2 linked regions of the Xenopus tropicalis genome follow. The protein of the gene in region 1 binds, or shares a complex with, the protein of each later gene. Links are inferred from orthologs where the notes say so. Each region holds a gene or a part of one and is shown on either strand. Other genes may lie near its edges.

Region 1 (4,145 bases):
ATTAAAAGGGGGAATAGATTCACGGGAGGAGGGTGTAATTCTTCCCCTTTACACAGCGCTGGTAAGGCCCCATCTAGAATATGCTGTTCAGTTCTGGTCTCCAGTGCTCAAACAGGACATGATTGAGTTAGAGAGGGTCCAGAGAAGGGCAACTAAGCTGGTAAAGGGTATGGAAAGTCTCAGTTATGAAGAAAGACTGGCCAAGTTGGGTCTGTTTACACTGGAGAAGAGGCGCTTAAGAGGTGACATGATAACTATGTATAAATATATAAGGGGATCATATAATAACCTTTCTAATGTTTTATTTACCAGTAGGCCCTTCCAACGGACACGAGGGCACCCACTCCGTTTAGAAGAAGGGAGGTTCCGTTTAAATATTCGGAAAGGATTTTTTACTGTGAGAGCTGTGAAGTTGTGGAATTCCCTCCCTGAATCAGTCGTGCTGGCTGATACATTATATAACTTTAAGAAGGGGCTGGATGGATTCTTAGCAAGTGAGGGAATACAGGGTTATGGGAGATAGCTCTTAGTACAAGTTGATCCAGGGACTGGCCATCTTGGAGTCAGGAAGGAATTTTTTCCCCCCTGCGGCAAGTTAGAAAGGCTTCAGATGGGGTTTTTTGCCTTCCTCTGGATCAACTAGAAGTTAGGCAGGTTATATATAGGCATTATGGTTGAACGTGATGGGCTTATGTCTTTTTTCAACCTAACTTACTATGTACCTGATTATTTGAGCAGCAACGTTCTACATGCTCCTCCCTAGGGTTCAGGAGTGAATGGATCGTAATTATTTTAGGCATAGTTACATTTCTAACAATGCCTAAAGTTATTTTATGCATTTACATAATTTTACATAACTGTGCTGGCAAGTAATTTGAGTGTGAAATATAACTTATTGTTAGAAACATAATGGTACCCCCATTAAAAGCCAAAAGATCAGTTCATTTTAAGCACAGGAAAAGCATACAATTGTATTTAGTGACTGCTTTATGATATAGGTTAATATCCATGTTTACATTTTGATTTTTGTTGAAGTTAAAAAAAAATAGATAATATGGTTTCATCAAGCTCAATGACTCTGTATGTTTAACAGCCAAAATACAAGGGCTTTGGGAGTGGTAGGATATAACAGACCAGAAGAATCAGCCAGAATGCTGCAGCAGGGACTAATCAAGGAGTTGGGAGTAGGTAGAATGCTGCAGAATTGAGGAATCAGGGTGCAGAAAGAAGAAATAGGCTGTAGCCCAGATCAGTCGACTACTTGTAGCTAGCAGGTAGAATGCTTCAACTCAGAGGAACCAGTGAGCAGGATGGAAGGAAGTGGTCAGAGACAAGAGAGAGGGAGGGGAAGGAGGAGGAGGAAGCAGGACAGAAAAAGTATGCTCGGAACAGCCCGGAACAATCACTTACACATGGGGGGATTAATCAGAGCTTAATTTATGGAATAATTTTTAGTAACAGAGTAGGGCTCGCTGTCATTTTGCACACAACTGTCCTAAAATGGACACCGTACACTGAATGCAAGTAATGAGTGACAGCAGCGAAGGAATCAGTTTCTCTGTACCATGCTCACGGCTGCCTGGCTCAAGCTGCTGTGCTCATGAAGACACAGGAGGGCTTACGCTACAGGAAAATGCCACCATATGCGGTGGAACCAGGATCCCTGAAGCTGGAAGCTTCTGGCGTGAAGATTACCTCCGTGCTTCAGCGGTTGGAAGTGGTAAAGATGCCCCATGCTATGGAAAGTGGGTTAACCCCCCTCCTACAGCTAGCGGAGGTATTAGCCTTCGTAGGATTACTGTGGTATATGTTATCAATGAAGTAAGTCCGGAGTTGCATGCTTGTGAGGCTGCTGCATTATACAGTTTGCAGGAGGCATGTGAGAACCATGGGGCACTGCTTGAGACCCTGGATTTCGGCAAACTGGACTTTGGCGAGACGTCAGTGCTAGACACCTTCTACAATGCAGGTAATAGAGGGTCTGACTGACATGCTAGAGTATTAGATGATGGGCACCAGATCTGGTATTTTTATTTCCACCCTTGTTCAAGGTGATAATCATATTTAGTATTGACTCCAGATCATATGTGAGGGTGTGCACACCAGGTCAGTTTCACAGTTGGAGGCCCAGCCTGACACTGGGTAACAGTCTTGGTGGGAAGAAAGGGGAAGTCCTGAGAGAAGACAAACAGAGCTACTAGTAGCAGCTACTTGTCATGGCTACTAAAACAGACAATGCTGATCATATACTGATAGCTGTCTCTAGGTGTGTTTTAGCAAAGGCAATTCTCAGTATTGTCTATGGCAGGGTTTTTTTCTGGCATTTAGTAGCCGTGACAAGTAGCTGCTACTAAGTAGCTCCGTGTGTCTTCGCCCTTAATCTTATCATGAGGCCCATGTTTACTGTTCGTATGCTCTCCCTCCTCTGTGTGCATGGGTTTCTTCCCCTACTTCAAAAACCATACAGTCAGGTTAATTGGTCTCTGATAAAACTGCCCCCTCTTTGTGATGGAAAACTTTGTAAGCTCCACTGGGGCAGTGAATGATGTATAATCTCTGTAAAATGTGACAGTGCTATATATATATATATATGTATATATGTATATATATATATATATATAATAACAAAAAAAATTTAAAATAATATTTTTTGGTATATATATATATATATATATATATATATATATATATATATATATATATACACCAAGAAATATTATTTTTAAAATGCTGGTTGATCTGGAGCAAACTGTACACTAGTTAGTTACTTTGTTGATATGTAGTATGTGCTAGCAGCCCTCATTGAAAGGCAGACACCTGGGGGCACATTCATCAATGTACTATTGTGCCTGAATACTAAAAATTTGTATTTTTCTTAAGTTTTAGAACTGTGCGTATTTTCTGCAATTTTTTTTCCTTAATTTGCGTGACTTTTTCATACTTTGCAACAATTTGTGCAACAAAATCGTATTTGTCACAACTAGTACGAAAGTTTCGGAATTCATTCAAGCTTCAGTATTGTTACTTTCCTTGGGCCAGGTTGGAGCTGCAGAGTGCCTTTGAGTCCTGTGGGAGGCTTCCAAAAACATGCACAGAAGTTTCAAAGTCAGAAAGTTTTTTGTGCCGTTTCCAATCTTTCGTATACGAAAATTTAGTAACTTTCGTATCAAACCACTATACTTTCGTACAAGCATGATGCGACTTTTTGCAAAATTAACTCACATCAGAAATTGCAAATTGTTGCAAATCGTACTCGGAATTCGTACTTTAATGAATCGTCCCCCTGGTGTTCACTGTGTTTTGACCAGCTATGCCATAAGACAAATGGGTAATTAGTAACATCCGTATCATATTATACAATGAGAGTATGAGAGTACAATAATTAGTGAGGAGCAGTGGGCAATGGTAATCTAAGAATATTATATATGAAAAGATATATGGCAGCATACAAAAGCCATTCTAGCATTTGCTAGATCAGTGCTGTCCAACTGGCGGCCCGCGGGCCGCATGCGGCCCTCGACCCCCCTCTGTGTGGCCCCCCACCTGTCTGGCTGCTTTGATGGCTTACTCTTGTGTAAGCTTTAAATGGTATCAGTACTGTGATTAACTGGCCCCCCCTGCATGGTTCTCACCTCAGATTCAGGCTGTAATCAGGCTGTATTGTTTAAATATGTAATCCCCTGTACTGTTCACACCTTTTAATCCCTGCATTGTTCACCCCCTGCAGTGTTCAAACCTCAGGCTCAGGCTGTAATCACTCCCATTGTTCTCCTGTTCACACCTCAGGAGCAGTAGAAACCCACAAATAAACCCTGCACACTACAAAAGCAACATACACTGAGGTGGTACTGCAATTAAAAAGTTTTTTAATATATAGTTATTGTGCAGACTGTTGGAGCAGTGCCAGCATTCTGTCACTGTAGGCTGCCTGTGTTTGCCATACACACAGGCAGGGTAGGGAAGGCAGAGTATGGCACACACAGGCAGGGTAGGGAAGGCAGATTATGGCACACACAGGCAGGGTAGGGAAGGCAGAGTATGGCACACACAGGCAGGGTAGGGCAGGCAGAGTATGGCACACACAGGCCAAGTATGGCACAAACCAGCCAAGAATGGCACACACAGTGAAAGTATGGCACACAGGC
Region 2 (4,273 bases), on another chromosome or scaffold:
GCACTCAATAGTAAGAAATCCAAGTCCGGCTTGGGACTCCTCCAGTTACATGGGAGTAGGAGAAACAATAGGTTAGCTGAAAGCAGTTCTAATGTGTAGCGCTGGCTGAAAGCTCAGACTCAGGCACACTTTACTGCTGCGCTGCAAGTTGGAGTGATATCCCCCCCCCTCACCCCCAGCAGCCGATCAGCAGAACAATGGGAAGGGAGCAAGATAGCAGCTCCCAGTAGGTATCAGAATAGCACTCAATAGTAAGAAATCCAAGTCCGGCTTGGGACTCCTCCAGTTACATGGGAGTAGGAGAAACAATAGGTTAGCTGAAAGCAGTTCTAATGTGTAGCGCTGGCTGAAAGCTCAGACTCAGGAACACTTTACTGCTGCGCTGCAAGTTGGATTGATATCCCCCCCCCCCCCCTCACCCCCAGCAGCCGATCAGCAGAACAATGGGAAGGGAGCAAGATAGCAGCTCCCAGTAGGTATCAGAATAGCACTCAATAGTAAGAAATCCAAGTCCGGCTTGGGACTCCTCCAGTTACATGGGAGTAGGAGAAACAATAGGTTAGCTGAAAGCAGTTCTAATGTGTAGCGCTGGCTGAAAGCTCAGACTCAGGCACACTTTACTGCTGCGCTGCAAGTTGGAGTGATATCCCCCCCCCCCTCACCCCCAGCAGCCGATCAGCAGAACAATGGGAAGGGAGCAAGATAGCAGCTCCCAGTAGGTATCAGAATAGCACTCAATAGTAAGAAATCCAAGTCCGGCTTGGGACTCCTCCAGTTACATGGGAGTAGGAGAAACAATAGGTTAGCTGAAAGCAGTTCTAATGTGTAGCGCTGGCTGAAAGCTCAGACTCAGGCACACTTTACTGCTGCGCTGCAAGTTGGATTGATATCCCCCCCCCCCTCACCCCCAGCAGCCGATCAGCAGAACAATGGGAAGGGAGCAAGATAGCAGCTCCCAGTAGGTATCAGAATAGCACTCAATAGTAAGAAATCCAAGTCCGGCTTGGGACTCCTCCAGTTACATGGGAGTAGGAGAAACAATAGGTTAGCTGAAAGCAGTTCTAATGTGTAGCGCTGGCTGAAAGCTCAGACTCAGGCACAAGGCACTGAGATGGCGCCTACACACCAATATTACAGCTACAAATACATTTGTTGGTTGAAGAATAAAAGGTTAAATGGCAGAGGGAATTATTTGCTGTGTAACAGGGTCATTTAGAGATAAACAGCCCCATAAACATCATGGCAGGGTCCCTTGACACTAAAGTTATTACTCAACTTTAGACAAGACTCAAAGTTATGTTTCCCCTAGGCTGGTGTACAAGTTATATGTCAACAAAACCCATGGTAAAAATAAAGTTCCCCTAAACCTTCTGTTTCTTGCTCAGACCACATTTCTGGTTGCACCAATAGGGAAGCTCGGAGCGGGCGGAACGTTGCTGGTAGGAACCATTGTGCCGGGGCTGCGGAGCTGGCGGACATTTAAGGTGTGAGCCCCACTCCAGCCCGCTGCTGTTCCGCTAGGAAAGATGGCGGTTCGGGAGAAGGCTGGGCAAGAGATGAGTCTAGCGGCGCTGCGGCAGTCTGACCCCTATATCAGTAACATAGTGGATGTGACCGGGCACGTCGCTCTCTATCGCTTCAGCCCCAAAGCCAATGAGTGGGTGAGTGGCACCGGGCGGGACCATGGGAGCGGGGGGGGGGGGGAAGTGGGGGAAACCAGCTGTGTGAGGGGAGAGTTAGGTTTGGGATGGAAGGGTCTGTTATGGAGGGAGGGGCAAAGTGACGGGGTAGGTGTGTGTGAACTGTAAGTGTAACAAGCTATAGTGTTACACAGTGACAGCTACACATAACTATAAACCCAGTGAGAATGAGGAATGAATGGATATTGGGGAGTTGTATCAGGAGTCAGAACCAGCAGTGCAGGGAAGGGAAAGGGACAGACACAGTGACAGTTACACATAACTATAAACCCAGTGAGAATGAGGGATGAATGGATATTGGGGAGTTGTATCAGGAGTCAGAACCAGCAGTGCAGGGAAGGGAAAGGGACAGACACAGTGACAGTTACACATAACTATAAACCCAGTGAGAATGAGGGATGAATGGGTATTGGGGAGTTGTATCAGGAGTCAGAACCAGCAGTGCAGGGAAGGGAAAGGGACAGACACAGTGACAGTTACACATAACTATAAACCCAGTGAGAATGAGGAATGAATGGATATTGGGGAGTTGTATCAGGAGTCAGAACCAGCAGTGCAGGGAAGGGAAAGGGACAGACACAGTGACAGTTACACATAACTATAAACCCAGTGAGAATGAGGAATGAATGGGTATTGGGGAGTTGTATCAGGAGTCAGAACCAGCAGTGCAGGGAAGGGAAAGGGACAGACACAGTGACAGTTACACATAACTATAAACCCAGTGAGAATGAGGAATGAATGGATGGATATTGGGGAGTTGTATCAGGAGTCAGAACCAGCAGTGCAGAGAAGGGAAAGGGACAGACACAGTGACAGTTACACATAACTATAAACCCAGTGAGAATTAGGAATGAATGGATATTGGGGAGTTGTATCAGGAGTCAGAACCAGCAGTGCAGGGAAGGGAAAGGGACAGACACAGTGACAGTTACACATAACTATAAACCCAGTGAGAATGAGGGATGAATGGATATTGGGGAGTTGTATCAGGAGTCAGAACCAGCAGTGCAGGGAAGGGAAAGGGACAGACACAGTGACAGTTACACATAACTATAAACCCAGTGAGAATGAGGGATGAATGGGTATTGGGGAGTTGTATCAGGAGTCAGAACCAGCAGTGCAGGGAAGGGAAAGGGACAGACACAGTGACAGTTACACATAACTATAAACCCAGTGAGAATGAGGGATGAATGGATATTGGGGAGTTGTATCAGGAGTCAGAACCAGCAGTGCAGGGAAGGGAAAGGGACAGACACAGTGACAGTTACACATAACTATAAACCCAGTGAGAATGAGGAATGAATGGGTATTGGGGAGTTGTATCAGGAGTCAGAACCAGCAGTGCAGGGAAGGGAAAGGGACAGACACAGTGACAGTTACACATAACTATAAACCCAGTGAGAATGAGGAATGAATGGATGGATATTGGGGAGTTGTATCAGGAGTCAGAACCAGCAGTGCAGAGAAGGGAAAGGGACAGACACAGTGACAGTTACACATAACTATAAACCCAGTGAGAATGAGGGATGAATGGATATTGGGGAGTTGTATCAGGAGTCAGAACCAGCAGTGCAGGGAAGGGAAAGGGACAGACACAGTGACAGTTACACATAACTATAAACCCAGTGAGAATGAGGAATGAATGGATATTGGGGAGTTGTATCAGGAGTCAGAACCAGCAGTGCAGGGAAGGGAAAGGGACAGACACAGTGACAGTTACACATAACTATAAACCCAGTGAGAATGAGGGATGAATGGATATTGGGGAGTTGTATCAGGAGTCAGAACCAGCAGTGCAGGGAAGGGAAAGGGACAGACACAGTGACAGTTACACATAACTATAAACCCAGTGAGAATGAGGAATGAATGGATATTGGGGAGTTGTATCAGGAGTCAGAACCAGCAGTGCAGAGAAGGGAAAGGGACAGACACAGTGACAGTTACACATAACTATAAACCCAGTGAGAATGAGGAATGAATGGATATTGGGGAGTTGTATCAGGAGTCAGAACCAGCAGTGCAGGGAAAGGGACAGACACAGTGACAGTTACACATAACTATAAACCCAGTGAGAATGAGGAATGAATGGATATTGGGGAGTTGTATCAGGAGTCAGAACCAGCAGTGCAGGGAAGGGAAAGGGACAGACACAGTGACAGTTACACATAACTATAAACCCAGTGAGAATGAGGGATGAATGGATATTGGGGAGTTGTATCAGGAGTCAGAACCAGCAGTGCAGGGAAGGGAAAGGGACAGACACAGTGACAGTTACACATAACTATAAACCCAGTGAGAATGAGGGATGAATGGGTATTGGGGAGTTGTATCAGGAGTCAGAACCAGCAGTGCAGGGAAGGGAAAGGGACAGACACAGTGACCGTTACACATAACTATAAACCCAGTGAGAATGAGGGATGAATGGATATTGGGGAGTTGTATCAGGAGTCAGAACCAGCAGTGCAGGGAAGGGAAAGGGACAGACACAGTGACAGTTACACATAACTATAAACCCAGTGAGAATGAGGGATGAATGGATATTGGGGAGTTGTATCAGGAGTCAGAACCAGCAG

What was found. Proteins that work in one complex are often made in the same cells at the same time.
Region 2: map3k5 (region 1) and dcp1a share a complex: the UniProt entries of both Homo sapiens proteins name them as parts of the cytoplasmic complex. The link is inferred for Xenopus tropicalis from reciprocal best matches to the Homo sapiens genes MAP3K5 and DCP1A.

The regions. Positions count from the first base shown.
Region 1 is NC_030681.2:59,037,053-59,041,197, reverse strand, and holds the start of map3k5 (mitogen-activated protein kinase kinase kinase 5), read left to right. Parts: upstream 1-1,334; 5' UTR 1,335-1,518; coding exon 1,519-1,969; intron 1,970-4,145. UniProt on the Homo sapiens protein: Serine/threonine kinase which acts as an essential component of the MAP kinase signal transduction pathway. Plays an important role in the cascades of cellular responses evoked by changes in the environment.
Region 2 is NC_030680.2:150,714,609-150,718,881, forward strand, and holds the start of dcp1a (mRNA-decapping enzyme 1A), read left to right. Parts: upstream 1-1,468; 5' UTR 1,469-1,526; coding exon 1,527-1,661; intron 1,662-4,273. UniProt on the Homo sapiens protein: Necessary for the degradation of mRNAs, both in normal mRNA turnover and in nonsense-mediated mRNA decay. Removes the 7-methyl guanine cap structure from mRNA molecules, yielding a 5'-phosphorylated mRNA fragment and 7m-GDP.